Linked DNA regions of Coturnix japonica. The protein of the gene in region 2 purifies or fractionates together with the protein of the main gene of each other region. This does not show direct contact. Links are inferred from orthologs where the notes say so. Each region holds a gene or a part of one and is shown on either strand. Other genes may lie near its edges. The genes, in order: WDR19, IFT43, IFT140 and TULP3.

Region 1 (7,161 bases), on a different chromosome or scaffold from region 2:
GATGTTCCAGAGCAATACTGGGCTTTGTAAGCATCTTCTGAAGGAAGGCACTGAGAGCCTAAATGTGTGAGGTGCTGTCAAGTGTTTTGAGTACACGTCAGTCTCGCCACAAGTAGTGGGACAGCAGATAATCCAGCACTGACTTGCAAGTTTTGACGTGCCGTATAAGTAAGATGCTCACTTCATCTCAGCCTTCTCACTTTGACTGCTGTCTTTAGGAGGAGATTCTTTTAATCTTGGAACTCAGTTCTCAGAACTGGCAAAGCACCACTGAAAAGGCACATATAAAAGTGCAGTACTGGACACTGAGCTGGTGCTGAATCCAGATATTGCTGCGTACAGTCGCTGTAGTGATTCTCTTGACTGTGTGCTGAGTGTTTGTTTGCCTTGCAACCCACTTCTTGAAATACCTTTATCCTTTAGGGCCCTTTCGATGTTGTCCGGAAGGTTTTTGCTGCTGGAGAGGAGGCTTCTCGAATGTCTCTTCTTCCATGACTATTCCCTAGCACCCCTATTTGTCCAGGAGAACTATGTGCATGTGAAACCTGCTGCTGCTGGGTGAGTTATTCCAGACCCTGAATCCATGGTGAACTTTGTGAGGAGGAAGGTTAAGATTAAAACCTGCTTGTATATATTTTGCTGTGTACTAAGATCAATTTTTTCCCCCCCAGAGGAGATCTGAAGAAACACTTGATGCTCTTGAGTAGAGCTGCTGATAGTATATGTGATGGTGATCTGGTGGACAAACAGATTCGTACCAAGCAAAACTGGAACCTTCTACCAACACAGGTGAGAACTCAGCTCTCATTTCATGTGCACCCCGGTGTGGGGGCAGTGTGTGAGACTCAAACCTCATAATGTCAGTGCATTCATGACCTATTATAGAGTAGAGCAGCTTGCTATAGAGCACACAGATGACCCCGTGCTGTATCATGGAACAGTCTTCTGAAGCACTGAAAAAACTTAGAACCTGCTTTATAAACTGTGGGAACATCTAAAGCGATGTCAGTACTCGTGTGGCACCAGGTTACTGGTCTTTATTGGTGCATAAAGGACCACGACTGGCATCAGAAAATGTACTGTACAAGTTGGAAGGGGCCTCTGCCTAACTGTGGTTATATGGCTTTGTAATATAAATCTGTTAGCAGCCGTGTGCTTTTCATGTGTTTCCTGTACTGTGTCCACCTGGAGATGATGGTCCTTGTTTGTGTGACATCAGCTGTCTGTGTGACTGCACCCCACACTGGGGAAACAGAGCATTTAAAAAGAAAAAAGGTTCTTAACAACTCAGCACTTGGCAGCTATTTTACCCCATGATAACACACAGGGTGGTACAGGAGCTGAAGCTGTAACCTAAAAGGGATAAACAGCAACAAGCAGCCCACATTGTCTTAAGTTGAGCTGTTGGTGCTGTGGGGTTATCCGTATTCACTCACCTGCTTTCAGTGAAACGGGTAGCACGTGTGTGTGTCATTGAGACTAAATCCATTCTGTTCTAACTAAGTTTTGTGTGTGTGTGTTATTTTTTCAGGCTATTTATTCAAGTGTTCTTCCTGGGGAGCTGATGAGAGGTTACATGTCCCAGTTCCCCGTCTTTCCCAGCTGGCTGGGGAAATTCTCATCCACGGGCAAACACGAGCGTATCATCCAAGAGCTGGCGATGCACATGAGCCTCAGGTAGTACTGACACTTGGTGCGCATCAATAGAGACAACTCGTTCTGTAGCTCGTTACCTGCCAGTAGTGCTGTGCTGTCCTTGGTACAATCCTAAATGTATATTCTAGGAATATCCTCATAGATTGTTGGTGATGCTTTTGCGTCACTGTTCTGGACAGCAGTCAGACTGAGGACACTTCTAATATGGTGGTGGTACCGTCTGTTTGTGATCTTTTTCTTCCTTTTTTAAGTTAGGGTTGTGTTTCCCCAAACACTCTGGTTTTTGAGTGCTGGATACTTTGCACCAGGTTTTCCCTTATGCAGGTGTGACAAAATAAATGGTACAACTCAGCTTGTGGTTAACTCCTAAGGCAGCTGAGCATCTATTTGCTGAGTGAGGCTGTTTGGAAAAGAGCTGAGTAGAGCTGTACAGATTAACTTCTCACTTTCAATCTGACAAAGAACCCAGGCGTGCAAGAGGACAGTCAATGTGGAATATTTGTCCCATCTGCGCGATGTATTCATCCGGCCACTGCGGGACTTTGGAGCAGATGGTGTACAGGATGCTGTAGCGTTCCTGGACTCTTACTGCCTGATGAAAGAAGACATTGACAACATAATGGAAATAAGTATGTGGGGAGGGAAACCCAGCCCTTTTTCCAAGCTGGATCCCAAGGTAAGATTCACTACTGAATTTTTTCCTTATCTCACATCTTTTGTAAGGAAATCTTACAATGATAGTTATGGTTTGGACATGCTGCTGAAGATGCAAATGCATCGTCTTATTAACTCTAATATAATTGAACACGGAAATCCATAGCAGTTCATCCGGCAAGGCAGCCCGCTAAGGGATGTAGCCTTACTTGTTTTAGAAGTAGGATGAGTGCGGGTGTCCAGCCCTGTGCCTTGGGCTGCATCCAGTGAAGAGGCCTCATCTTGGCCACGTGCAAAATACATAATGCAGGTAACATATGTAAGTAACAATACTTACTGTACTTGTAAAAATATTTTTATTAAGACATTAAGATAAAAAAGGACAACAAAAACATAAAACCAGTGGGATAGTTGATCTTAGTGAAATGAATGTATTCTCAGTGAGCTCTCAGTGTGTCTGTCAGATGCTGGGTGAATGTTACCCTTCCTCGTACTGCGTCCTTGATGGCAGCTGTTCACAAATGACGTAGTGCCACAATAGATGACTGATTGGAGTAAGGCGTGATTTCTCAAGTGAGGGACAGTTTCCTCTGGTACAACTTCTTATACAAAGTCTTCTTATAAAAGTCTAGTGAAGAAAAGACTTTGGAGTTGAATGTCTGATTGCAGCTCTGTCCAGTTGTAGATTTGCAGGTCAGCTGAAAATGAAGTTGTAAATACACAAATAAACTGGTTAGTTAATTTGACGCTCTGTGCTTCCTTCCCACCTAACAGGTCAAAGCAGCTTTTACACGGGCCTACAACAAAGAGGCGCATCTGACTCCATATTCCCTTCATTCTGTGAAGACGTCCAGACGGCAGCCAGGATCCATGGGGACCTCTGAGCTGAATGAAGAACTGGGAGTGGAAGAGCCCCCGTCTGATGAGGACGAGCAGGATACTGTTGAAAGCGATGCCATGATCAAGGTGCTTTGGCTTCCTTGGTATTACACCACCACTCTGAACTTTTTTCTTTCTATGTTCACTTTCTAGGACTTGTAACATCAGAATCAAAAACCAAAGCCAGAGTAGATGCTGAATGCATCACCTTGTCAGTTCTTGACCAGCAGTACTATCAGAAATACTCATTTATTTTCATTTGTTTTTTTTCTGCTTGACTGTTGGACCAGTGAGACCTCTCCATAACGTGTTAAATAATGTATATAACAAAAGTGTTGGCCACGTCCTTACAGAGCAGCCAGCACTTCCCTGCAGCTGCTGCTAAAAGTGACAGTGCTGTAGAGTCTGTATTCCATCACTCTTCAAAGTGCGATTCCTGAAAGGGGAGAGGCTCTTCCCCCCACTCCCCTTTTCTTTTCCTTTGCTTTTTAATTCACTGCATTTGACTTATGCCTTTCCCCAGGTTACTGCTGGATTTCTAAACTCTCCCTGTACTCTCTTTGTAGCAAAAAAAGATGAAGTCTTCCAAGCTGCCAAAAAGAGAGAAAAACGAAGAAACAACAAAAAAAGAAGGTAAAAGAAAAGAGAAAACAAGACATTAAACAGAATAACCTTGCTCTGTCTGTAGCTTTGGTTATTTAACTTGTCAGGAACGTGACACAGATCTGGTGATGTGGAACCAGTGTGTTGAAAACGCTCCTCTGACAGAGGTGCCGTAGCTCCCGTTCTCACACTGGGCAGTGCTGCGTTACAGCCGTAACTAGTGCTGTACAACAAGCAGGGTGCATGGACACGGCGCAGATGGGATGCGTGGTTACCTGGTGTTTATGCACGTCTTCACATGACTTTTTAAATAAATCCTCTGTTATTATGTACTGAAATCTTGTAAATAGCAAATCCTAATCTGCATATTTGTACATTATAGCAATTAAGCAGTGTATAGAATTACAATAAAATGTGTTTCGCGTGAGGTTTTTATTTTTGCTTAAGCTCACAGGGTGTTCTGTCTTCCTGCATCTATCAGGCTCTGTTTTTTTTTCTTAACTGGCCCCACAGCCATAGAAAAGCAAAGCAGAGCAGAGAGGGATTTTGTTCCACAATTTGAAATGTTTTAAGTTCTATAGCTGCAATCAAAGCCAGAACAGAATACCTAAAAAGTTACAAAGTTTAACAGAAACTGAAGCAATGGAAGCACAGAGCAGATGTTGAATATGAGAACATTCATGGCCTGGTTGGTGCAAATGAAGTTAAGCAAAACCTGTATGCGTAAGGGCAAGTAAATGTTACATCTGCTCCTCAGCTACCTGAGAGATCGAGATGCAGCTTTGTAAGTTAAGTTAAACTCTCCAACACTGAACTTTCCTTGCTGGGAAACACTGCTGCAGCCTTCCCCAATGAGCCCTGATATCTAATGAATAAAACAAAAACCCCACACCCTCAGCAACTCAACCCAGAGAGCCCTGCAAAAGCAGGTTCTAACACATACCTGAACTTAACCATCCGTGTCATCTTGTTTGAGGTACTGTGTGCAGTCGTTCATTTTCTTAAGCTGAGCGGTGTTGATTCTTTCAGAACACATTGGGCAGATGTTTTCAACCTGTAACATGCTGTTTTAAAGCAAGAGGGGCAACGGGTCAAAGGACGGTTGGGCCTGAGAGTAACATACACAGTGTAAGAGAGGCTGGAGCAGCAGCTGTTTCTGTCTAGGGGGGGGAAAAGGTGAGTTGTGTGTTTAGTTTTTGTAGCCATTTGCTAACCCCAGAAGTAAGGCTGCTCTGCTGAGTGGGCATGAGGAAAAGGCAGCAGACTACAACCAGCACAGATGGCACTGGAACACAGGGCGTTTCTAAGTGATGAATGCTTTGTTAGTCTGCACCCAGTGCCAGGTGCAAACTCCTATTCCGGTGGCTGCTGTTGGGCTGGTTCAATTGGAAGTGACACTCTATAAGTATGTATATTAGATGGAACGAATGCTGCAACCCTTCAATAGAAGAAAAAATCCCAGCTTACTTCTTGAATTCTGAATAGAGGGCTGGAAAGTCACAGTGTGGGCAGACGGTCCAGTCATCCTGTACCATGTGTCGGCCCTGCACACAAGAGGAAGCAGTCATTCAAGGGCAGGCGCTCCCCAATGCTTCACCTGGCAGTTCAGTTACTGTGGAAAAAGTCTCAGCAATGGAGTTCTAAAGCTGTTAACGAATGAAGAAACCCACATGGTTACAGTGTTACTTTGCTTACCGTGTAAATTCTGTGACTAGAAGAGAAGCTCTCACTGGGAAAGAAGGTTTTCCCTATGACGTGTATTTATTTTTGTAACTTTAAGAATGAAATTAATTATCACTTTACAAATGATTTCAGTCAGGGCAATTCTACGCTGCCCCTGTAGGGAAGTGCTTAGAAAGAGAGTGGTGTAAATGTACTGAGATTATTGGTGGTGCGTAAGGTTCAAAAATGGCAGCGAGGGGCTGCGGCTGTCAGTCAGTCAGTGAACACAGCAGGAGAGCTGAAACAGCTTCTTTTTCTTCTTATTTGGTTTCTCATTTGATTCTGATGCAGAAAGTTGTTAGGTACCATGGTCACCATTGTAAAGCCCAACAGTGCCTTGATGTGCGTTTAACACATCAATGTTGTACATCATTGTTAACACATCTATGCTGTAACACATTAGGCAGCAGTGGATTGTTTTGATGCTTTCCAAGGGTATGATGAGAAAAACGCTGCAGTCCTGGTGATGTAAGTGAGTGTGATGGTGTGAAGGAACCAGAGCCAAGAGACAGCTTAAATACGTGGAACAGAAATGAAAAGGCATGCACATAGAGCACAGTGTTCTGCTAAGCCAGTGGAGAAAAAACAGTTTAAAAAGCTATTACTATTTTTTGTAAGAATGATCCTTTAGTTTTAATATTAAAATTAAAGCATGTTCACTAACTCTGTTGTTTGTTTCCTGCTTTAGAAAATCTGTTCTTATTCTGTAATGTGACAAATCCCTTCAATCAGTCAAATGTTTGTGGACAGGAGCTGAGTGCAGCATTAGGACTTTATGGAGGTGAGCTGCATGGCCCTCTCACTGGGCAATGTACTGCGGCCCTTTCCAACAGGCTGTAAGGAGTCCTGAAACAAAAACAGTGGGGCTTCTCATTTATGTCAGGATCACTAACACCAAAACCAGAACTGACCCAGGACTTAACATGGGAAGTGCCCCAGAGGTCTGGGTGTCACTGACTTGCCAACAGCTCGGAAAGAACAGCCAAGCCTTGGCCTGACTCTGGCAGCCAACTGAAGATAGGAATAAAGAAGCAGCGGCTTTGTGTTCATTCTTCCAGTGTAGAATTGGGACTCACCGTTGCGATGCAGTAGGGCAAGTTGTTTTTACACCTGGGACATAGGAGCTCGCACTCTGGGAGCTGGAATGCACAGTAGGGACAGGCTGTTGTTGGCTCCTCCGCCTCGGCTTTGTCTGGGTGCCTGGCAGGAAGATACACATGTGAATAAGAGCTCAAGCTCTTTGACCTTGAACAGGGATCTTCTACAGTGCTTTTGATGCCTGGCCAGTGTTTGGAAGCACAGAGGAACACTGCTCACCTGACCATTGCTTCAATTTTCTTCTTGTATTTAAGATCGATCTTATTTCGATTCTCAGGTCGCATCAGCACAGCAGCAAAAGTGAAGGCTGAGTTCTTCAGTCCTGCTCGGTGACACTCAATTACTGTTGAAGTCAAAATTGGTACAATGTCTGCAACAAAATGAACCAACAGCAATGTTTACTTACTAATATTACTGTTCAAAACCTTTGTGCTAATAGGGCATTGATGAAAGACAACAGGATTTTTCTATGCACACAAATATGCGCAGTTCCTGTAAGCACACACGGGAACCACGGGTTCACCTCTTGCTGCCTGGTACCTGTGCAGC
Region 2 (7,554 bases):
ATTAAAGAGACTACTTGTTCACAGTGCACATAAATACCTGAGCAAGTAGAAAGTATCTGACAGCATGGTTTAACAGGGAAGGTGAAAGCATAACCAGGTGCAAGGAATAGAAGATGAAACAAAAACAGAGCTTAGAAATAAAGCAGATTTTGAACCACAAGGGCAGTTGTCTGCTGGGATAACTAACCAGGGAGAAGACAGGTGAAGCTCAGCCACATCGCATCGAGATCTGCCATGGCCTGTTTCATAGCAGGTCAAACTACACATCCAAGCACCTCATCTTTCCTTTTCTCCAGCCTCTTCATCAGCACCTGCTTTGCCCTCAGTCCCTCCAAACATTATACATACTGTTCCCAAATCATTCACCCTCCTCATTCCTCTTGCCCCTCCCACAAACCCCACTGTGACATCAAGTCCCCTCCTCCCCACACCCTGCCTTAAATGGTGTCCACATGCCCTCCACACTCCTACCTGTCACCATCTCCAGAAAGATCTCTGAGCATCCAATGTCCCTTCCGCTTCTGTTTCAAGGGTCTCCTTCCTCTTGGCTCCTGAAGGTCCAGCGCGGTCTCTGAGGGGCTGAGCACTGATGCCCAGACCAGAGATGCCTGTCCTTTCTCCCTGCTAGGACGGCAGCCAGCCAGGAGCACTTTACCTACCCAGGGAGATGGGTGAAGTCCTTAGAGGCAGACAGTGCTCTGCCCTCCTGGACAAGAGACAAGACTGTTGGCATGGCATACAGCTTCATGAGGAGCAATGGGCTGAGCACTGCCTCTACAGCTCACATCCTGCAGGCTGCCTAAATAATGCCTGGTTTTCCTCTCTTAGAGCTCCAATTGTCAGTAATGCCACCTCACTAAGTACCTAAATAAACTCCAACACACGTCACATATCAAACCTCAGGCTGGACAGCCAGATTAGTTGGATTCATAGCTCATCCACTCTTGTGCCTCAAGCCTGGGAATCCTCAGCTTTTGTGGTCATTGATAACTGGCTGGCATGCACTGAATACCGTGATACCAGGCAAGCAGCTTAGAGGATACTCAGCTCAAGCAGAATGGAGAGAGCTCACACTAAGCTGACTACAGACTGTATTTGAGAGAAGAGAGCCTCGGCTTTTTCTATGATCTTTGGGATGTGAACTGTGCAAATCTAACCCTAAGCCTAATCAATTTCTTCCACTCTTTACCATTCTCTTCCCCACACAGCCTTGTTGGGATTGTCTGATTTACTAAGCTTGCTGAATTTGTTTTCTCCTTCTTGGACTATAGGAAGAATCCTAAATTCTCTTTGGCCAAGGGCCACAGATATCAGAGAAGAACAGACACTGGCCCAGCTGGGAAGTTTCTGTTCATACCAAAACAGGTTTCTCTGCTCAGAAAGAGACTTCAGCGGTATCCTCCATACACTAGCCCCAAGGCTTCCATCTCATCTACTTTTCTAGTTACGGGGGAGATTCCTTGATTTTACAAACATAGCATCTCATTGAGGCAGCTTCTTCTCTCTTGCTGGTAGATTTTTTTTTTGGCTATCAACTCTGATCAGAAATTTTGCAGAGTACTGAGTTCACAGTGAGTCGTTTCTCCTGGACTTGCATCAGTACAAAAGAAAGAATGCAGTGCTCCATTAGATCTAAAGAACAAGCTAAGAAAAGCAGCACATCAAGCCTTCTGCACAGCACCTGCACTGTCCCCCAGAAGTATATAGCACGGTTCTCCTGTGGGACAAGGCTTTGAAGGACACTGGCTTAGAAGTAATACTATTGTTTCCTGCAAATAATGACCACAGCTCTATGGGGATAGGGCATTAACAGCTAAACGGAGTTTTTTTTAGGTGACAATGAGAACAGGTTACTTGCTTCCAAGGAAACACGCCAGGGAGTTAGCTTGTTTCAGAGCAGCAGGCTTCATTTTTTCACATGTGGAATGAGCAGTATTTTCTTTGCAAACCACCTATTGCCTGGAGCTAATTCCATTCAATATGTGATCTCATCTAACTGTTGAAGCTAAGCAGGGTTAGGCTTGGTCAGCCCTTGACTGGGATAACTCCAGGGAAAACAAAAGGTGCTGCAAGAAGCAGTAGTGGCAGTTTAGTTGGTGATGCTGCTTCCTCTGAGGCAATACAGAGGTAAGGACCCAGGGCAAATGTTAAACCAGCAAGGGATGGCAGGAGGCTGATGGACAAGATGTAACGCAGACATCCTGACAACTTGTGGCATCTGTTGTGGGAAGATGATAACCTTGATGTTCTAGGCAAACAAACTGCACCAACCTAAGCTTCTCTCACAGCCATCACTGAAAACCACACTCCATTCTTTGACTGTGTAAGACAGTCTTCCCAGAGAGACTGACCATAGCAGTTATCTGTAAAGGTGCTAAAGTAAGGTGACAGTGACTGTTCATAAGTAAATAATATATTGTGCTTCTAATTCTTAATCTCTTTTGAGAATGAAGAGTCTTAGTATAAAATATCCAAAACTTCCCCCAAGCCAGTTTTCCTACAGACCAAGTTCTATTTATTTCCATGTCTGAAATATATTCTCAAATACAAACAAGTAAATAGAAAATTAAAGTGCTAAACTATTTACAGGGAATGTGTACATGAGAGATATCAGGTGTATCAGTGCTCTAGGGTACACTGAGGTGGTCCTCTCTCTCAGACTGTCCCACGTCCCACTCAGTTACTAGTTCTGAGGATACCTCTGTGAAGAGATGGTCCCAATCCCAGCAGACATCATCCTATCAAGAGGAAAAAGACAAACATGCTGAAAATTTAACTGATAACTCCCAGAGGTCTCTGAATGATGTCCCTGCCAGAGAGGAAGGCACAGATTTTGTTGACTAGGATAGGAAACTTAGAGAGAACGGAATGTGAATCTGTGTTACAATTTAAAGATTTTGGAAGAAATAATCATTCCAAATTCAGTAAAGCCCACACTGTTAACCTTAGGTGTTCCCAAGAAGGGCATAAGGAGACATAAAAATCTTCCACTCTTTTAATGAAGCACCTGCTGTTCTGGGATGTAGAAATCTTTTGTTTCAAGTCCTGAGCTACTGCTTATACATTTGTACTGAGGTTCTTCTGCCCTGCTTTAGAACAGCCTTCTGTCCTAACCCTAAATGTTTTCTTTGCTCCCCTGTAGCACTCTGCAGAACCATCTGGAGCCCATGGTGGCTACCAAAAACTACACAAAGCAGCAGTTTGTGCATGGATCTGTGACAGCACTAGGCCCTTCACTAACTCTTTCAAACTGAAGGAAGCCAGTCACAGCAATGCTGTAATCTCACACACAGAAATACCTACAAACTTTTAAAATAATCTGCTGGGGAAATCAGACCTCCATCAGCTTGAAAACAAGCTCCTCTTCATAGGCTCCTCCTCAAGTATCTTTCTTCCACCCCACCAACAAAAGCTTACTTTCTAAGTACAGTCTGAGACATAAGAAGCTTTTAACTCACCTCCCGTAGTTCATGTTCTGGAGCCAAGACTTTGGTGAGAAGCTTCAGGTCAACCTCTCCATCCTAAGAACACACACAATCACAGTCTTACAGACACAGAGAAAGCAGGCACCATCATTTCACCAGAGAGGATGTTGCTAGAGACAGACACAACATTTTGCCCCATACATGACATAGACCTTCTTCAGGACAGCAGCAGGTACCTCCTCATATGAACAACAGGCACTATATACACACACACTATTTCCAGATGCTCATTAGGCTGAAAGGAAAATATTTGCAGGCAGACTGGAAGGTGCTTGCATGACAGGGCAATGTATTTTATGCAGCTGAGTATCACTGTGGAGGACAATGGAAAACTGGAAGGAAAGGAACTTACACCCGTCACTCCACACCAACATCCACTTACCAGAGTCTGAAAGGCAGCATACTTTGTAAGATCTTTGTCCAAGTCATGGTAGGTCATCACTCTGTTCACCTGCACACTGCAAACAGAAACGGGCAAAACAGAACCCCGGTAAGTGTGGAAGCACAGCAGATGAGACACACAGTGACTTAAGCAGTAGTGTGTGGACACACAACTCAAGTATCCACACTGGATGATGAGGATATTGAAATGGTTGTCCAAGAACAGAAGCACATCTCATTCAGCACATTAAGAGGCACTGACGAATCTGAGAGCCAGGCTGATCGCATGTGTAAAAATAGGATATGGAGCAACCAGGGACTCCTTCAGAGAAGTTGGCATGCCAGAGAGAAGATCCGTGAGCCACATGCAAGGGCCAGAAAGAAAACAGGAAGGCAATGAACATGCAATCAGCCCAGATACAGATACACTCAGCAGGTAACAGCCAAAATGCCACTCCTATCTGGGAAGCAAAGCACATTCAAGAGTCCCACAATGCAAACTATAGAACAGTGAAGACTTTGCAGTTTCCATCTCTGAGCTGAATTTCAGCTATCAAATGCAATTTCTTAAAATGTAGGCTCCAAAGATGAGCAGAGGTAGGGGGGGAACGTACTGCCCTGCCATACTTCCCTTTGCATGTTACGCAGTACTACAGGGAACATTTGTATTCATTTATCTTCTATGTATGCCCACGAAAATTATTTGTCTTCTATTGCAGAGTGACTATCGATACAGGGAGAACAGATGGGATTATACAAAAAAGAGAAAACAAAAAACCAAACTCTGGTGAGAGACAAAATCTTTTTTAATTTACTGCTATGACACGTCATTTATTTTTATTAACAGCTATTTAGTTACGACACCTACTCCATACTTGCAAGAAAGGCATCTGTGGTCATCCAAACAAAGGTCAACAGAAATCCCACTCTGTGATCTTTGCAATAGATCCAACAGGAGTAACGACTTAAAAGTATCAAGAAAATTAACTCCAACACTTTCAGTTTTTAAAATGTACTACTAAATGGTCTCCTACGAGCTAATCCCAAGACTACTGTGATACACCTACAGATCGTATTGTGCTTTGCAAATTAACTAAGCCCTTGAGTGAAAAGGATATCCTGTGGAGGGCGAAGCAGAGTGCAATCAAAGTGTGTGTGATAATACACGTGTACTGGAGGCATTTGTCACACAGGCAACCTTAAATCAAGCAACACCTAACTTTTCAGAGTTTGATTTTTCAATATCAAAAGTGATGCTCTAATGTAGATTTTGTGTATACAGAGAGAAAATGCATTAATTGCTGTCTCTATGTAACAGGAAACAAATTTGCACTGTTCAGCCTGGAGCCCCACTGTCACAATGTGCAGCATCGAATCCTGCTGAATGGTGCTGCCACTGACATCCACAGGGCATGAGATAAGATGGAGTTTAATTTCACCGCACATTTCACATGGCCGATGTGAGCCACAAGAGCACTCTTACCTGGGGGGAGCTGCCACTTGCATGGCCAGATCTTCCTCCTGGACTTCCTCTAAGTCAGGGATCACAGGAATATCTGTAGTAAAAGAAAGCAGCATTTGAAGACAACCTCGAAGCCAAAAGAATCTGGCTGTCATCTGAAGACTGGTAAGAATTTTCTTCCTATGAGATATGTTGTTCATTACTCAGCTCCGCTCAGCCACCCAGAATCTGCTAGAAATGAGGTGTGAAGCATACAATGGCAGAAGCCATGTGAATGAATCTGCATGCTGAAGGAGCTGCTGGCTGGGTTGCAGACTGAGCAGAGGCTGTGACCTTCCGCGTGGCTGAAGGAGGAAGTGCTGGTGGTCCAGCTGACACTAAGATGAGGGAGGATGCACTAAGCTGTAATGTCATAAATGTTTTCGTGTCTTTCCAGAGTGAGCCCGGAATGGCCAATAGATGTCACTAGATATTCCCAGCATGATGATTATGGTTACTCCACCTACAAAGGGTACTTAGAGGGAAAAAAAGAAAATGGAGGAAAGCAGGAGAAACTGGGAGCACACTGCATCCTGCTAAAAACCTGTGAGATGCTGTGTCCTCAGATGGCGGAGATGCCAGTGGTTGGCTCTGGGAAGAAGCTTCACAAGCACAAGGTGGGATCAGAGCTGGCCCTCTAGTGCTGGAGCAGGCAGGCTGCTCCTGCCTCTGCCAGCAGCACAGCAGGCAGCTGGGCCTGACTCTGCCTAGCTTTGCAGCCCAGGCTGAGATGAATATTCAGGAGCTGGAGAGATGTCCCCACCTGTGGCGGCCAAGGCTCCGGGCAGGGTCTTGCTGAAGAGCCCCTTGTCCGGCTGCCTGTCAGAGCTCCGCAGCCTCTCAGCTGCCCTCTCTGCCCAGCATCCCCTCAGCATCCCTGGGGCTTACCAGCTGCTAGGGCTAGAGCAGCCCTGGCCCAGCTGTGGGAGGACAGGGGTCAGCACGGGCCTCAGTGCGGCGGTCGTTCGGTGCTGGCCACACAGTGGGATTTCTCACTAATTGGCTGCCTGGCGGAGGGCTGAGTGGGATGGCGGCTGCAGCAAGAGCCAGGCCAAGGCGAGCGGAGGTGACAGCTTGGATGATCTCAGCAGAGCTGTGCCTTCAAGCTCCCCAGCTGCCTGAGGAACAGGTGCCTGCAAAGCAGCTCTCTGACTACGGCAAACTTCTCAAAGACATATAAAGGAAAATTGCAGCAACAGGCCCTCAGGATGTCCCTTAGAGGGCAAGAAATGACTCACCAGCGTGTTCCTGTACCTTTAGGATATATCTGCCCCCACTCTGCATGTAGGGACAAGAGCCAGGAGAACCTGCTGTCCTGCTGGCTCTTCTATGCAGGAGCTCCCAGCCCAGGGTAAAGCTCCTAATAAGATGCAATCACAGAGTAACAGCATCTCTGTGGACAGACTGACCTGTGGAGAGAACTGCCCAGTGACAATGTGGGAGAAAGTCCCTGTACATAAGTAGCAAAGACCAAGGAGGAAACAGACTGTGGAGGCTATACAACAGGAGGAACAAAGCACTGCACAGAGGTACCCTGCCAGGCTTTTGCTTCTGTTTATTTCTTTTTGCACTAGAGAATACCATAAACTTAGTGCTGCACTTTCCTTTTGTGCAGGTTTCCAAAGAGTCCTGGATTTGCCAGTGCTGGCTTTATCTCACTGCCATTAAATTTCATGGAGAGATTCCCAAACTCCTTGCAGAACGCTGCCTCTACTCTGTATTACCATCATGAAGGCAATCGCATAGAAGTTCCTTCGAAAAGAAATTAAAGGCTCCAATATTTTTATAGGCACTTTGAAAATACTTCAGACAGAAGAAGTGGAAATGCTCTGGGGGCTCCTGCCAGCCCCTCCAGCAAAGGGAACCGCATGAGTGCTCTCACTGCAGAGTGCTGAGTGCTATTTCTAGGCACAGGCAATGCTCCTTAGGACTGCCACAGAGTGTCAGGAAACAGAACAAAAACATTGCAAACTATTAAAAATAATAATAATTAGCTCCCCAGACCAGTTGCTCTCAATGGCAAATCAGGCCTGAAATATTTGAGTCCTTGTTTTACTCATAACTTCTCCTACCTTCTGCCAATTTCCATGGTGCCACCTCTCCACAATCCCTCTTACTCCTCTCTCCTTACAGTTCACTGAGTGTCTCCTTTTTCACCTTCATCACTGAGGAGCCAACCTCCCACTT
Region 3 (6,952 bases), on a different chromosome or scaffold from region 2:
TCTGCTGCTTGATGTAGTAAGTCAGGTTTGTGCATGGAATTATCTTCCGCATCTGCTCCAGGTACTGGTAAGCCTAAAGGAAAGCACAGAAATCACCTACAGCGCTTCCAGAGCTCCCAGCAAAAGGGGGACAAGCTTCCATCCTCAATGCCTGGCTGAGATCTTCAGTTGACAGAGTGTTCTGGTGTACATAAAGGTGTACATAAAGTTTGGGCTCTTCAGCATGTAAGAACTGAAATGTAACTTACCACATGGAATTCCTGCACCTGTAAATAATGTTCAACCAGGAATCCCAGGATGTCCCCCTGCCGGATGGTGCTGTCAAGGTCCTGTTCAGCCAGGAGCAGTTCGCACTGTCTGATGGCTTCTTTGGGATCCTCAGAGTAAACCCTGGCAAAAGAGCAAACAGAAAAATCACATGTTGGAGGACATTTAGTTTTGCCATGAGAAGCACGGGAAGGATTTTTGTGCTGTGCATGTCTCAGAATCATCCAACAAAAGATGGCTGTGCTTCCCAGGCCAACAGTTACTCATATTTCAGTCTATACTTTGGTCTCGAAAGCCAACATCACTTTTAAAATCACCTGTGGTTCCCTGCTACAAAAATATAACAAACACTTATAGAAGTGAGACTTCTGCATGTGATTTATTGAACTGTGAATGTCTTCCTCGTGCATGATATCTTTGTCATTAGTCTGCATGCTCCAAACACTGCAACTCACCTCCGAGCGTGGATGAATCGCTTTATCAGGGCCATCTTGCTTTGCAGATGTGCTAGTTTGCTTTCCTGTTCCAGAGGGCTTTTGGTCTTTGCTTTTGAAAGACACTTATATGCTTCTGTCAGTGCTCCCTGTGCTTTCTCATAATTCTGATACTCATCAATTTCCACCTGCAGGAAGAGAGATTCAGATGAGGCTCTTAGTCCATAGCAAACAACTGAACACCTTGAGGGATCACAGAAGCTGGTTGTACCTGAGCGCACACATCATAGAATCCCGCCAACAGATCCAGGGCTCTCCCTTTGGTATAGAAGCTGATGATGTTCTTCATAATCTCTGGGTCTTTACGCCAATCCAGTGACTGCAGGTAGTTGGCTGCCATGATGTAAATCTCTCTCTGTCTGGAGACTCCCGCAAAGAAGACGATTTTCTCTGTGTCTCCAGATCTCAGCAGTGCCTTCATAGCCTAACAGTGGATGGGGGTGGGAGGACAGAGAGAGGAAATATTGTGAATGCAAAAATCAAATGATGCTGAAATGGTTGGAAAGCCTCATCTGGGCAATGTACTGACTGTTCCAAGACCTCCCTCAAACCACTCTAGGGGAAAAACCATATAGAGTTAAGTGGCTCAGCCTCTTTAGCTGTTTTTTCTACCTCTCCCAGCTGACCTTTAACTTGTTTCCAGCTTGCGTGTACTTCTTGGTTGCCATGTGGTAGTTGCCTTGTCTCATGCAGCAATCTGCTATTTGCTCCAGGAGTTCCCTCCGGGACTCCTCAGAAAGGTCCTTGGAGTCCTTGCAGACCGTCATCCGCTCAGCCATCTCCTCTGTGATGGTCAGGTTCTGCTTCAGGCAAAGCTGCAGAGCTTCATGGTACTAATGGAAATGAGAAAGCAATGAGCAGTTGCATGCATTGCAGTGTGATGTCACGTTGTCTGTGGTGTAACTTTTAGAACTTAGCTGCCACCCTGTCATTCTGAAAAGAAACCTTAAAGCTTACAAATGTTTTTGTGTAGGTGCTTATGAACAAAGAGAGATGTGAGTGTATTTATGTGCACACCTGTTGTGCTCCTCTCTGTTGGTGCACACGGGGAGCAGGAAGGCAGAACTCACCTTTTTGGCTGTGAGCAGCAGCTCCACTGCCTTCTCATACTGAGCATGTTCAATAAAAAAATCAGAGCAGCGAGCCAGCAGAGCTGGGTCTGACTTCTCATCGAGGTCTTCAGCAATGAGCTGTAAGGCTCCAAACTGCTGCGTGGCAAAGGCCAGCTCCAGTGCTTTGGAGAAGTGTCCTGCCTGTAAAATTAAGGACGAGGCTTTAAGGACTGGAATAAGCATTGCAGAATGAATTTCCCAGACACCCCAGTGTGGGTTCACAGAGTGTTACTGTGAAGAAATGACTGATAATTGTACATAATCAAACCACACCGTTAATTAAATGCTCCTCTGCCGTAGAAACAGCGTCAGTTTAAAGTTTGCTATTCTTACTAATGAGGCATTTACCTTGTGGTACAACATGACAGCTCGGTCCATTTGCTCCCCCTTCTCCTCATAATAGCAGGCTGCCTCTATCATGTCTTCTGGAGAGCTCAGGAGAGCCAGGTTCATCAGCTGATCATCTAAATTGTTCTCCTGTTGAAAAGCAAAGATTTGGGTTGAGGTCTGCAGCAAACTGACCTGACGAGCTTGCCTCCTTTCAAGCTTTCGGCTTTGTGCTGTCACATAGTAGCCCATCAACCACCTCCTATGGAAAACCCATAGCAACTCCTAGGGCTTTGAGCTGCAACAGTGACTGTTTTAGGCAGTTTTCTGTTGACATGTAGGAAAAGGAAATACTCAGTTCCATGCAACCCCTTGTAATGATCAATCCTTGTAGAAGATGTGGGCAGAAACTGGACCGTCTTCATGAACAAGCAATATCTCACAAAGAGAACGAGAACGGATCTCTTGTACCTGTTTCACTCTGTACGCTGCCTAAGGGCAGAATCCTGCTTCAGGTTTGGATGTAGCAATGTGTGTCTTTCCATACCTTACACAGGCGAATGGCGTTGTTAAATGCCTGGGCCCTGGTGTAGAAGTGCACGGCCTGCTTGATTTCATCCTGACTCTCGTACTGACGGGCCAAGTGGTACGAAGCCGCCCAGTTTCCTGTTTCATTTGCTATTTCAGCAGCCTGGAAAGGAAATGGCATATCTTTACACTGTGACCAAACTCATCCTAGGAATGAGAACTCTGCAAACAAATGGCAGCAGGCTGCGTTACCTTCTGAATGTTGCCCTGAAAACAGTGGACACGGACTAGGGAAAAATAATCCTGAGCCAGTGCATAGTATTGTAATGCAGATTCCAAATCTGACTGGCTCTCCAGGTATTGTGCCCACCATTTCCACAGGCTCCTAGAAAAGCAACAGTATTAATTGCAGCAGCTGGAATTACCAGAGAATGCATTTCTCAGCCCTGGAGATCTTGAACTCAAGACCAGATGTATTTTCTTGGAACGTAGACAGGTTTTACCTAAACACAAGGGTGATATTCAAAGACCTGCACTATGAGCTCAACCTAAATATCCAATATGGCAATTTTGAGTGAATTGTGCCATGATCCTGAAAAGCTGAGGGGGGATGAAAAGGCATTAGGCAAGTGTTGAACTCAGAGGAGAGGATCACTACTTCTCCTTCCCTGCCCTCCTCACAGCCTGTATCTCAACCTGAAAGTCCCACTCAGAAGGAATGAGCACAGCACTGACTTGTCTTTCATCTTGTTGACGTAGTTCTCCAGAGCCTGTAGGTCATCAGACAGCATTCGGGGTACCTCAAACCTGTGTGTATCTGACTTCTCATAGCTGTGGACAAACAGAACATATCAGATGTGAAATGACTGACTTAAATCTCACTTCATTGTCTAAAAAATCCCCCCCCCCAAACACAGTTCTGCCATAAGCTGATGCTTACTGGCTGAGTGCAAGAGCGTGATCCCCCACTGCCTCCAGGTGCTTGGCGTAGCTGTAGTAAGTGGTGCGCAGGTGAACCCGGTCATGAGCCTCGGCTGTTTCAATGGCTTTTTGCCACTGGTTTGTGGCCTGATAGAACTTATTCAGAAGGTCGTAGCGCTTGCAAGCCTTGTACAGTTGCTCTGCATCCTCCTGAAAGGAGAGGATACAAGCAGCTCGTTGGCTCCACTGGTTTTATAGGTGTCCATCCAAGCAGGTCACAGCAGGCACTGCACTAATGAGTATTTTAGTTATGCAGGTAATGCAATTAGTGTAACAATAATTCAGGCAGGAGGGTTAACCAACTAATACACTTAACCTGGAATTGCACGTTACTGGGAAGCAGGATGTTTATGTGAAAATAAGGAAAGCATTCAGATCCTGCATTTACTGTACAGTATCAACCGGGGGGTGACACAAGCAAGACATCAACAATTAAACACTGTCACCACGAGCGTGAATCACTTCAGAAAGGGGAGGTATCCTCGTATGGGGCTGCACTGAATGGCCACACAGCCCAGAAGTGATGTGAGGTCGGAGGGACCTCAGAGCAGGTCTCAGACGTAGGAACTCTTCCTCGGATAACTGAGAGCCAGTCCTGGCAATGACACTATTCATGTCAGACAGAAGCAGATCAGGAGGATTTTGCCTGTATTGACGCAAGGATAAGCAAATTTGGAACTATTATTTTTGAGAGGTTCTCCTGTGGAAGGAGCATTTTCCTGCCCCACCCAACTGCTGTCCAGATGAACACTATATTTAGTAAATGGAGATTATCCGTCCAGGATAGAAAAATAGTTTCTGTCTCTTTCAAATTCTAAAAGCATAGAAAGGGAAGATGGAAATTGTTGGCACTGCGAGTGAATAAACCCACAGAGCAGCATCTGCCTTGTACAGCTCCCCTCCACCTCTCCAAACAGATGCCAGTATCCAGAGGATGGAGCATTGCCACTTCTCAGCCTCACAGCTGCCTCTGCCAGGAAGCTTCTCCAAACATCTAGTTCAAACGTTCCCTTTTTCCCCTCTTACTTTAATTAAGGATAGTTCCACTACCTCTCTGGCATTTAGACTCTTAAAATGGCTGCAGATTGCTGAATTCTAGCCCTTCCAGCCTTGAAAATCCTTCCAAGAGCTGAACAGTTTGCCCTGATTCTCTGAACTTCCAGTTCATCAACATTTTTTTCTGGTAATGAGAAGAGGTGGAAGGCAACGTTCCAGCTGCAGCTGCAACAAACACACAGATGAAAGCCATCACAGCCCCGGGATGCAGCGTCTCCTCAGAGGCCCCAGCAGATTTTCTGCTGTCACAGCACTTTGTGTCTAATTGGTGATCTGTGAACTGTGGGGTGTGTCACCATTTCTGTCCTCATTTGCCTGGGACTAAGAACTATAGATCCTAGTTCTAGGATGCAGATGATTGACAGGCTTACCAGCATGCCCAGCTGAACTGCCAGCACAGCCACTCTGGCTTCCTGCTCAGGTTCCTGTTCTGCCTCCCTTAATGCTCTGGCTCCTCTGGCATGACCCATGTTTCCGAGGCAAATTTTGGCAACATCAAGTCTCTGAGTCTTCACACACATGCGAGCCATGTTCTCCCAGACAGCCTCACTGTGATAAAGCAGAAAGAAGGGGAGAGCTGTTATGGTATCAGCATCAAGGAGTGGGTATTGAGCAGGTAAGAGGCAAGGAGCAAGAAAGGACAATGCATTAGCAAGTTCCACACTTATCAGACATAAACAGACTCTGGTTGTTCCATGAAGATTTAAGGAGAATAGAAGCAGTTCTCAGACATAAAGGTAGCACTGGAGCTGAAGATCCACATGTTTGGTTAACAAAACATTTGCATTCAAAATAGGGCTCAGTGGAGGCCCACGCAGCTCCCAGGCACCAACATGACGCAAATTAAGGACCCAGATGATGAAAGCAGGGAAAAAAAAAAAAAGTTTTCTATTTTTCTTCTTTTTTGAAGAGTGGAATGACACCTCAGGTCCTGCACCTGCAAACAAATCCCCTTCCACTTTGGGGGTGGGGGGCTGACAATCATGTTTTCCTATGATTAAAATGTTTTTCTCTTCCCAGTGGCTGTGGGAAAGACCTGCACAAACAGGGGAAACTGACTAACCGGGAAGCAGCAAAAGGAGATGAGACGCAACGTGCTGTCAAGCACATCCAGTCAGTACAGGAGGGAAAAACATGCTGACTGCAGTTCAAACATGGCCTCCTCAGGTTCTGTGCTGATATATCCGAGTCCCTTCCAGACACAAATGCCAAAAGGAACATGGAAACAGAACGCAGGAATGTCAGAACTGGAAATTCAGTGCTACATCCTGAGCGTAAACCTACGATGCACCTCCATGCAGCATGAAATGCCCATTTCCACCAGCACAAGATGGAGCCATTTTCATTTTCATAAAGCACTAATTGTTCTTTTTCCTTTTAAGCGAGCCACTGCCTATACCCAGAACAGGGGACAGCAGGAAAAGCACCTTTAAGGGACATTTAGGTCACATTAGATACTGTCACCTGGCTTTGATGAACAAAGACAGACACTTCTATCACTAGCCTTGGTCCAGCTGCAGCAGAAGCTGGTTATTACCCATAGACATGTCCCTCACACAAAGGACACTGCTCTGATAAAGGTATATACATGCATTATCATAGAATCATCATAGAATCACAGAACGGCCTGGGTTGAAAAGGCCCATGATGCTTCCAACCCCCTGCCATGTGCAAGGTCACCAACCAGCAGCCCAGGCTGCCCAGAGCCACATCCAGCCTGGCCCTGGATGGATACACAAAGGTATACACACAGCTGCTGAGCACCACAGAGCACACAACCAGGTGGAGGTCGGGAAGCAGCACAGATCACATCATACCGACACCACAGCAAGATGCTGCAGCAGATTGAGGTCACACACTGATGGCAGCCAGGGCCAGAGCACTGGGGTTCAGAGCTCCTGCACAAAGACCAGACGACCTCCAGCAACCAAAATGCAGCCAGAACCTTGTTCCACCTTTGCCCTGAAAGTGAGCAGGGAGACATCTCCAGCATCAGAACACCAGGGACAGCTGTGCTGCAGTTTTGCTGTCTCAAGATACGTACAAAACAGTGCAAACTGGGTTAAGAAACAAGAAACACCAGAAGCTGAAAGTTCTCACGTCATCCAAAGCAAGAACAGTTTCTTTTTTGACAGTTGGTGGGTCAGGGAGAAAGACACGTCTGTCTCTACATCCTTAAAAGGCAGC
Region 4 (8,114 bases), on a different chromosome or scaffold from region 2:
TTTGGCGCTCAGCGGTTTCTTGCCATCACGTGGAGCTCCGGGCCAGTGAAACGCAGCGGCGGGCGGGGCCGAGCCGGGCGGGCTGATGGGTATGTACTATATGGGGTGGGTGCTGAGCACGGTGGGGCTGTGGTCACCTGTAAATACTCTTAATTTAAGGGTCGTTATCCGCTTCGAGAGGAGTTATCCGAGCTGAGACTGTGAGGCTCCAACCCTACAGCCAGGTTTGACTCTTCTGTGGTTTGACTCTTCATCGCTGTGTGTTACCGGGAGGAAAGCGTGGCTCCAGCTGCCTTCACAGAGACCTCCAAGAGCATCTGGACTTCACTGGTTGGTGGATAATAAGGTTGTGTCTCTAAATCTTCTGGCATGTTAAGGGGGCTGGTCAGTTGTTTTGATAATATGTAGCAAGCGGTTATTATGTAGCTTTATATATTGAATAAGAAAATGTACTTCTTGCATGGTATTTTCTCACCAGTGTCAATCTGCTTCTACATGGAAAAATATCCTCGTACCATGAATATGCATGTATTCCCCTGATAAATAGAGATGTTTACCTCCTTTTGGTGTGCAGGCTAGGAAGGAGTTAACCCCCTGCACCCAGCCAGCCAAGTAACACGTACCTGCTCTACAACTACTTTGTGTTATAAAGTTTGTTATGCAACTCAGTGTGGCTGTTTACCATCACATGTTTGGTTGTGCCTTCATGAAGCTTTGAAGCACTTAATTACTCATTCTACTATATATATATATATATATATATATATGCTAAATCTGCCTGGAATCTGATAAAAGATATAAAAACTACTGGTAGGTAACAGTCTATATGGAGATCTGCATGTTATTGTACTAGTGTTTTGTTCAAAGTCTTTATCTGAGGTTTCTAAATAATTGTTCAAGTCCATTTCCTTTTATTTATTTTCTACAGATTTGAGGGTGCTTGAGCATCAAAGTGCTTTCCTCCTCCTCCAATTGGTACTAGTGAGCATCATGAGGTTTCAAAGCGGTTTTATCTTATTGTCTGATGCCTCCCAAAAAGAACCGTACCCGGAAGACTAGAAAGGCAGAGCTGGTATTCATTGAGAGTCAGTGGGAGGCACCCATCCGTTGCTGTGAAACTCCACTGTGTGTGGCTGAAAATCCAGTATGTGTTTCTACAAAGCCTGTAGACCACAACACCTTTGCTGCCTGGGTTGGTATACGTTATCAGTTTCTCTGTGTCTTGCAAAAACAGGTTTTTAAGTTTCTCTCACATCTCAACAGAAAGTTTTGTATCCTGATAATGAAAATCAACAGCATGGACCTGAATTCATTATAGATGCCTAAAGCATAAATAAGTGCATATGAGTTTTTTTATGTTCAAATATAAAAAATAAAATCCTGGGTATTTGAAGGCATAAAACTATAGTGTATACAGACTGTGGTTTCTATTTGTCTTCTGAAAATCTAATTCTGGTGAGGAAGAAGCTTTCTTTCTATGGCAATTGAAAGATTTACCATGTAATTTTTATATATAGGTAAGTTAGTGCTATGGCTTCTGAAATGCTGCATGAAAGAATTGCTGTGATAAAGTGTGCTTTTTGTTTGGAAGAGCTTCAAATAACCACGTTGTCCTTTGTTCTAAATATCCAGTGATTTCTCTGAAGTCAATAGCACTGAAGCTATTAGATGTTAGAACATACTGGTAGGTTTACAACTCCCTGAACTGTTCTCTATGGATGGATATCACTTGGTTTCACTGGCAACTGAGTTCCTACTCAGATTGAGGTTTCTGCTCTTTCAGACCCTCTTGACTGTTAGGCTCCTGGTAAAGCCTATGTGCTATGTTCTCTGAAAAGGAAGTCCAGGTCAGTTGTTCACTTGTGTACAGTTTGTGCTAGGATACAATTACTGGAAACATGAGCCATGATTGTCTAAAGAATGGCTTTGGTTCAGTCAGTTCAGGTGTACAGTATATAGTCAGTACCCATAATTAGCTTGCACTTAGTTTTTGAGGGAATGTGTAGAAACCTGAGAAGGCTAAAAGGGGTTTGTGGTTGTCATAATGATATCCAGGTTGGGATGCTCTAGGACTGTTTTGACTGACTTTTGAAACCCCAGAAGATAAAGACTACTGTAAAAAGAAGGATTTGCAAGTCTTGAGTAAGTGCCCAAAGTCTTTCAATGAAGTATAGGTTATTGAGCTTTGACAGAAAGCTGATTTTAGTAGAATTGACTTTGTGGTCATCTGTTAATCTTTGTGTTGTAGAGTAACTGTTTGAGGAAAGCATGTTTTGGGGGAATATTTTGAAGGCCTAATGAACATTATCTTCATATTACTCCCATTTGTAGCTATAGTTGCTCAGGAATATTTGGGCCATAATAGTTCACTTGTACTCCACTCGCTTATCAAAGTGATAGAACAGAACTTTGAAGTTCAGAGGTGTTTCCTGCTTACCAGCTTGGATAACAACTAGTTTGCTTTGCTGCAGGCCAGCTTACCCATTTAATCAACACACTGAGGAAAGATGGGATGGGTGGGGGAGTAGAATAAGGTTGGTGTTCCTCTGGAGAAAAATACCATTTTGGTTTTTTGTTTTTTTTTTTTTCTTCTTATGTCTTCAGGTGTGCCCCCAATTTGAAACAACTAAGTCATTGGTTCTGAGAGTGTGTCAGAAGAAGCAACGTGGTTCTCACAAGCCTCAGAATCAGGATGCCAGCTCTGGCTTGCTTCATGCAGAGAGAGCTTGTCGGAGATCTGTGGCCTGCAAATTTCCTCCTTTAAATTTTGAGAATTCAGAAGAACGTGCAGTCCGCTCCACGGATGTGCTGAGTCACGCAGGAAAGAACACACAGCATTCTCACGGCCAGTGCAAGAAAGGGATAGGATCAAAAGCCAACATCCAGGTGAATGGTACTGAGAACTATAGTGAAACACCATCATTACCTGTTTCTCAGCCTACAGAGCCAGAAGTCTTCAGTCCACTAGATATGGGGATGCCACAGTTGCCTTCTTTAAAGAACTGGACAGGTAGCAGCGTTCTGCCACAAAGCAGTAGTTGTGCTGAGTTGGTGTCCAGTGTCAACCACTGTGGGAGCGAGCAATTGGCAGCAACACTGGTTACGGATACTCCTGAGCGTGACTATGGAATAAAGGTGACCTGGAGACATCGGCCTCATCTCCTTAAGTACCTGAGAGACAGAGGGAAGCTGAGCACTGCTGACATACTGGTGAAGGCAGACCTTGAACTCAAGAAGCCAGGCTGACTTTTGGTTTGGCAAAACAGCCATTTCACACACAATATAAATATGGTCTAATACAAACACAGAAAGTCCTTGAAAAGAGCAAAGAGGGGTAATAAACGAAGCCATACATTGTGCTGGGGCATCTTAGTTCTATTGGGAAGTGGTAGCGACGCGTAGGATGCACTTTATTCTCAGGGGGGGAGTGGTGTGATTTTACTTTTGACTGAGCTTCCTCGCAGGGGCTGTGGGAGGGCGGTAAGTGCAATAAGCCTCCACATCCACCCGCCATGATAACTGTGGAGGCGGGGCTCGGCGCTGACCTGGCTGCCTCTATGCGCATGTTCGGCTCGAGTTCTCAGCTGAGGGGAGCAGCGGCCCGCTTGGGCCAATGGCGCAGGGCCGGAGTTACGAGTTCCGTCTCCAAGGGTAGCGGTGAGATCGAAACCAGGTCCCGTAGTAAAGGCGGGGCTGAAGATGGAGGGTGCCAGGAGCCGATGCGCGATCGGTGGGGGCAGGTGAGTGGGGCCCAGCGGGGCAGGGAGGTTGCGAAGCGATTTGCGGCGAGTCCCTCCTCAGGCTGACCCTGAGCCTCGGTTTCCCTACCACGGTTCCAGACTTTGATTGAAGCAGCGTCTTCGGGAGCGAAACGACTGTGGAGGCTTTTTTTGTGTGTTACCTCGTGCTTCTAATCATAATTAAGCATTTGGGATGTGAAAACGGTAGCGAGCTCTTAGGCCACTGCATGTGGGGGGTGGGGGGAACGCAACTGATGGGAACTTAACTGACGTAATGGGAAAAGCACGTTAAGTTTGGGAGAGAGATTTTGGGAAGAGATTCTGCCCGTGGGTTTGAATAGCTGAAACCACAAATGACTGAGAATTCAGTGTGATGTACAGTGAAGAGAGATTTTGGTGATTAATGTGATGAATGATTTTGGAAATGCAGGAAAAGAACTGTTTTCTATCCAAGCATCAGAGGGTACGTGATGGGAATGCCAGTAAAGAGAGAAACAAAGAATTGTGTAACGTTTCTTGGTTGCAGTGATGAATGTAAGAATACTAAAATGCACAAACCTGAATAAATGTACGTAATTCCTAAGTAGATTTTTAAGACCATTAAGTAGATTCTTAAGACCATTTGTAGAGTCTTAAGAAAGCTATATGTGAGAATCAGATGGTCAGTATATATGTATTTTTTCTTTCTGAAATGAAATTTTCTTGCTATTCAGCGATATGTAATAGATATTGAGACATAAATAATTTTATTTGATGGACAGGCAGGTGAGATTTTGGGTTAAGGCCATTTCTAAGTAGGCTCTAATACTGTGGTGTTGTATTAACTTCTTCTCTGCCAATGTTATCTTTCATTTACGATGGCTGTAATTAAAGTAGCTTGAGATCATATTGAAGTCTGACATTCATCTAGATTTTCTTTAAGCACTAAGGTGCATCATTATGTTTATAGTGTTATTTCATTACTTTGATAAATGCTACGTGTTTCCTTTTCATTTGGGACAGTCTGACATTAAAAGTGTTGGATAGTGGTGTATGATGGGCAGCAGAGTTCAATTGGTTTGTGGTATTGGGTCATAGTCAGTTATCCCCACGGTTCCCTTCCACTCCTGGATATTGTATTGTTTGATGTCTTTATAGTATGAGAAAGCTCTCTGTTGGTAGACTTGGACTGGGATTGCTTCAGTCTCTCAATGGGACACAGTTGGACAGTCTACACAGTTATATTGTTGATTGTGTTGTAATTGGGTCATGGTATGAATGCTCCTGTGAATGCATTTGCTGACATGCCTAGAAGTGTTTTCTTAGTCCACTGCAAGAACTTTTATCCATACTTCTGTTGTTTAAAACATAAAATCGATGGGATGTCATCCAAAAGCTTGTGTCTCATCGTTCATACTCCCCATTCCCATTAAATATTCTTATGTGAAATTCCAGGCAAAAATAGAACAAGAATCTGGATTTACTAACTGCATATCCTAGTTCAGGATGGAAATCACATTTTGCTGTTTCATTCTTATCAATAGCTTCCCATTCAAACTTCTAAAAAACAAAACAAAAAAAGCTGGATATAGACTGAAACTGAAACTCCACACTGAGCTCTAGAATGTTAATTCATATATATTTTTTCATTTATTTCCTTCATTTTTAGTTAGACATACTATAAAAACAAGTGCAGTTCGGCATGAAGAGCGATAAACTTCATAGAAGTTTTGCTGTCTACCTGAGTTAGTGATTTTGTGCCATTTAACTGGTTTAATTTCTGTTTATCTTGTGGTCTCCAGAACCCAAACAGGCACAATCACAGAGACAGCAAAGGTTTGAAGGAGCCTCTGGACATCATCTCGTCCAACCCTGCTGCTCCATAGGGTCAGCTGGAACAGGTTGCATAGGGGGATGTCTGCTCAGTTGTTGAGTATCTCTACAAAAGGTTATTCCACAGCCTTGATATGCAGTTTGTTCCAATGTTGACTGACCCACAATAAAAAAGCATTTTCTTGTGTTTTTTTTATGTTTTAAACTGTGCCCGCTGTCTCTCTTTCTGACAGTAGGCACTAGTGGTTCCATCTTTATGCCTTGTCATGGGGTGTTTATATACCTTGTTCAGCCTGCAGCAGAGATGGTTCCATGAAGATCTTACCACTCTCAGCTCTCTGAACTCATATGAGAGATGCTCCAGTCGCTCAGTAATCTCTGTGACCCTTTGCTGGACTTGCATATTTTCCTGGGGGCCCAATAGTGGCCACAGCATTGGCTAATAATAATAATACATCATAATTTGTAGCAAAAGCCTTTGAGTAATGAAAGCTTTTTGCTTACAAAATGTTTTCAGAGAATTTTAGTTCAGTGACTGAATCACCGGTCCTGTTTGTGACAGAAAATGAAGTATGTTTCTTTCATAATGCCTTATTACTTGGTCTTCCCATGGGCTAGAAATAGTGTTTTACAGTTGGAGCCTTGACAACTATGTTGCAGTCTGTGGATGTCGTGTTTTTATATAATGCAAACTAATTTCTGGTAATAATTTTTTGTCTCTTGCCTTTTCCAGCATCTTTGAGGATGAAGGCATGAAACTACGACAGCTGAAACTAGAGAATCAGGTCAGTGGTTGTGCATTAACTGGCAAAAATAAATGAAGGAAAACAAACATTAGCCATCTTATTTTAGAAAGGAAAGTTAAAGTGCTTGTTTTCCCTTTCTTTCCCTTCTTCTCCATTCCCATTTTTCCTCTTGATTACCTGTCCTCTTTTCATTTACTTCATAATTTGTTGCTCAGAACTACATAAGGTATACAGCAATCACGAATATAGGCCACACTGTTCAGTTTCTGTTGTGATATTCAAGGCTGCAGGTGGATTCACAGTGTCACAGAGGCTTGAGAAGTGTGGAAGTGATTAAAAATGGTCTGAAGAATACAAGCAGAACCGATTGCTAATGTTTTTCGTTTAAGTTCTGCCTGACTCTTGTTAGATAGCTTGTATTTATTGTATTTATTGTATTTATTGTGAAATCAATAAAGTGTACATCCTCTAAAATTTCAAGTGCTTATTTAAAAGTTAGAAATTATGGGATAATTATAATTATCTAGCTGTCCATTTCACGTGGAATGGAGTTCACTGAATTACGTTATAGATTAAATTCATGAAGGTAGAACATGAAGCTGTGTTGAAATTAAAGTATAGTTTTTAGAAATTCTGTCTCTCATCTGAGGATCTTTTAAGTTAAGACATAACACTTTTCAGGGAACTGATGCATCAGTTAATAACCCTCTTTACCAAAACTTGTTTGTTATTTCTAGTCTGAGCTTATATTGCGCTGAGTCTAGACAGATTCATTATTGTCTTGACCTCCGTGCTTATATGGACACTTATTTAACGCACTTCAGAGTTAAATAACTATCTTTTACACAAGTAGCACCATGCTTTGTGAAACAATAAAGGTCAATAGCAGATCACAGCCAGACATAATGGCTTCATTACTGTTTGTAGCAGATACCACGCTTAAGAAATTTCTCCTAAACATTTAGAGGAACTGAGGTAAAAATTGCAGAATGTCTTTGTGAAATACAACAGGATTGTGTTCAGCATCTTTGAGCACATGGAGAATCTAGAGTAAGCCTTTGATGTATCAAGGGCTTGTGTCTCTCATCCATCGTTATGATGGATTTCAAACCATATAATTTTAGTTAAGTATTGTTTATAATCTGTGGGTCACATCTGTCTGCCCCAAAGCTTTTGCCTATTGTACTTCCTTGAGAAGAGTGTGGATGGCTTCTCAGGCAGTGCTTAGTTCCTCGGCAGTAGAACAGTATCTTTTGAGGTACCTGTAGCTCAACCTGTACTGCTGCTATCTCTCTGTGGATGGAGAAGGTAAAAACTGAAGGCTTGTTTCTGAATGCATTTAATACAATATTAGTCTTGACACTGAAGTTTTATTAATGCCATAATCACTTGCATTTGTCCCCGCCATCTTACTGTGAACTAAAGAGGAGCTGAAAGAAAAGGAGCCTCAGAAATCCATGCCTTGTGGTCTACTAAGGTAGACTACATCAAGTAATAAATAGTGCATTGCACCTTCAAGAAGAGTGATTGAAGCCTTGTTGTGCACCATCTTCTTGTTCATTACAGTGATAGGAAGAATGATGTGGAATACCAACAGCAAAAATTACAAAACCTGTTATTTAATGAGTTTTTAATGAGTTAAACGTTCTTGTGTCATGTGATTTTTTTTTATTATTTTTTTTTGTAATTCTATGTGAAATTTTACTGTGACACGGGGCTGGAGAAAAATGTGGTTAGTAGATGGAAGCGTGTTTTTTTAAACTTGCCCTTAGTGGAACAAGTCTAAGGACATGCTGTGCTGAAGGTAAGGCTGCTG

The links.
Region 1: the proteins of IFT43 (region 2) and WDR19 purify together in Homo sapiens (affinity purification with mass spectrometry; 3 studies listed by BioGRID and IntAct, counting the BioPlex papers as one, with this or other methods). This does not show direct contact. The link is inferred for Coturnix japonica from reciprocal best matches to the Homo sapiens genes IFT43 and WDR19.
Region 3: the proteins of IFT43 (region 2) and IFT140 purify together in Homo sapiens (affinity purification with mass spectrometry; 3 studies listed by BioGRID and IntAct, counting the BioPlex papers as one, with this or other methods). This does not show direct contact. The link is inferred for Coturnix japonica from reciprocal best matches to the Homo sapiens genes IFT43 and IFT140.
Region 4: the proteins of IFT43 (region 2) and TULP3 purify together in Homo sapiens (affinity purification with mass spectrometry; 5 studies listed by BioGRID and IntAct, counting the BioPlex papers as one, with this or other methods). This does not show direct contact. The link is inferred for Coturnix japonica from reciprocal best matches to the Homo sapiens genes IFT43 and TULP3.

The regions. Positions count from the first base shown.
Region 1 is NC_029519.1:62,619,213-62,626,373, forward strand, and holds the end of WDR19 (WD repeat-containing protein 19), read right to left. Parts: intron 6,983-7,161; coding exon 6,832-6,982; intron 6,715-6,831; coding exon 6,591-6,714; intron 6,178-6,590; exon of another isoform or gene 5,337-6,177; coding exon 5,260-5,336; exon of another isoform or gene 4,857-5,259; coding exon 4,742-4,856; 3' UTR 4,736-4,741; exon of another isoform or gene 3,852-4,735; coding exon of another isoform or gene 3,756-3,851; exon of another isoform or gene 3,277-3,755; coding exon of another isoform or gene 3,085-3,276; intron 3,009-3,084; 3' UTR 2,648-3,008; downstream 1-2,647. UniProt on the Homo sapiens protein: As component of the IFT complex A (IFT-A), a complex required for retrograde ciliary transport and entry into cilia of G protein-coupled receptors (GPCRs), it is involved in cilia function and/or assembly.
Region 2 is NC_029520.1:34,928,292-34,935,845, reverse strand, and holds part of IFT43 (intraflagellar transport protein 43 homolog), read right to left. Parts: intron 5,423-7,554; coding exon 5,350-5,422; intron 3,944-5,349; coding exon 3,868-3,943; intron 3,522-3,867; coding exon 3,459-3,521; intron 2,739-3,458; coding exon 2,628-2,738; 3' UTR 1-2,627. UniProt on the Homo sapiens protein: As a component of IFT complex A (IFT-A), a complex required for retrograde ciliary transport and entry into cilia of G protein-coupled receptors (GPCRs), it is involved in ciliogenesis.
Region 3 is NC_029529.1:11,985,419-11,992,370, reverse strand, and holds part of IFT140 (intraflagellar transport protein 140 homolog), read right to left. Parts: intron 5,315-6,952; coding exon 5,137-5,314; intron 3,860-5,136; coding exon 3,669-3,859; intron 3,560-3,668; coding exon 3,464-3,559; intron 3,114-3,463; coding exon 2,981-3,113; intron 2,892-2,980; coding exon 2,748-2,891; intron 2,351-2,747; coding exon 2,222-2,350; intron 2,015-2,221; coding exon 1,832-2,014; intron 1,595-1,831; coding exon 1,388-1,594; intron 1,186-1,387; coding exon 973-1,185; intron 890-972; coding exon 723-889; intron 391-722; coding exon 249-390; intron 74-248; coding exon 1-73. UniProt on the Homo sapiens protein: Component of the IFT complex A (IFT-A), a complex required for retrograde ciliary transport and entry into cilia of G protein-coupled receptors (GPCRs).
Region 4 is NC_029516.1:68,387,702-68,395,815, reverse strand, and holds the start of TULP3 (tubby-related protein 3), read left to right. Parts: upstream 1-3,481; 5' UTR 3,482-3,699; coding exon 3,700-3,740; intron 3,741-6,285; coding exon 6,286-6,337; intron 6,338-8,114. Other genes in the region: RHNO1 (RAD9, HUS1, RAD1-interacting nuclear orphan protein 1), read left to right, coding at 1,025-1,192, 2,605-3,246. UniProt on the Homo sapiens protein: Negative regulator of the Shh signaling transduction pathway: recruited to primary cilia via association with the IFT complex A (IFT-A) and is required for recruitment of G protein-coupled receptor GPR161 to cilia, a promoter of PKA-dependent basal repression machinery in Shh signaling.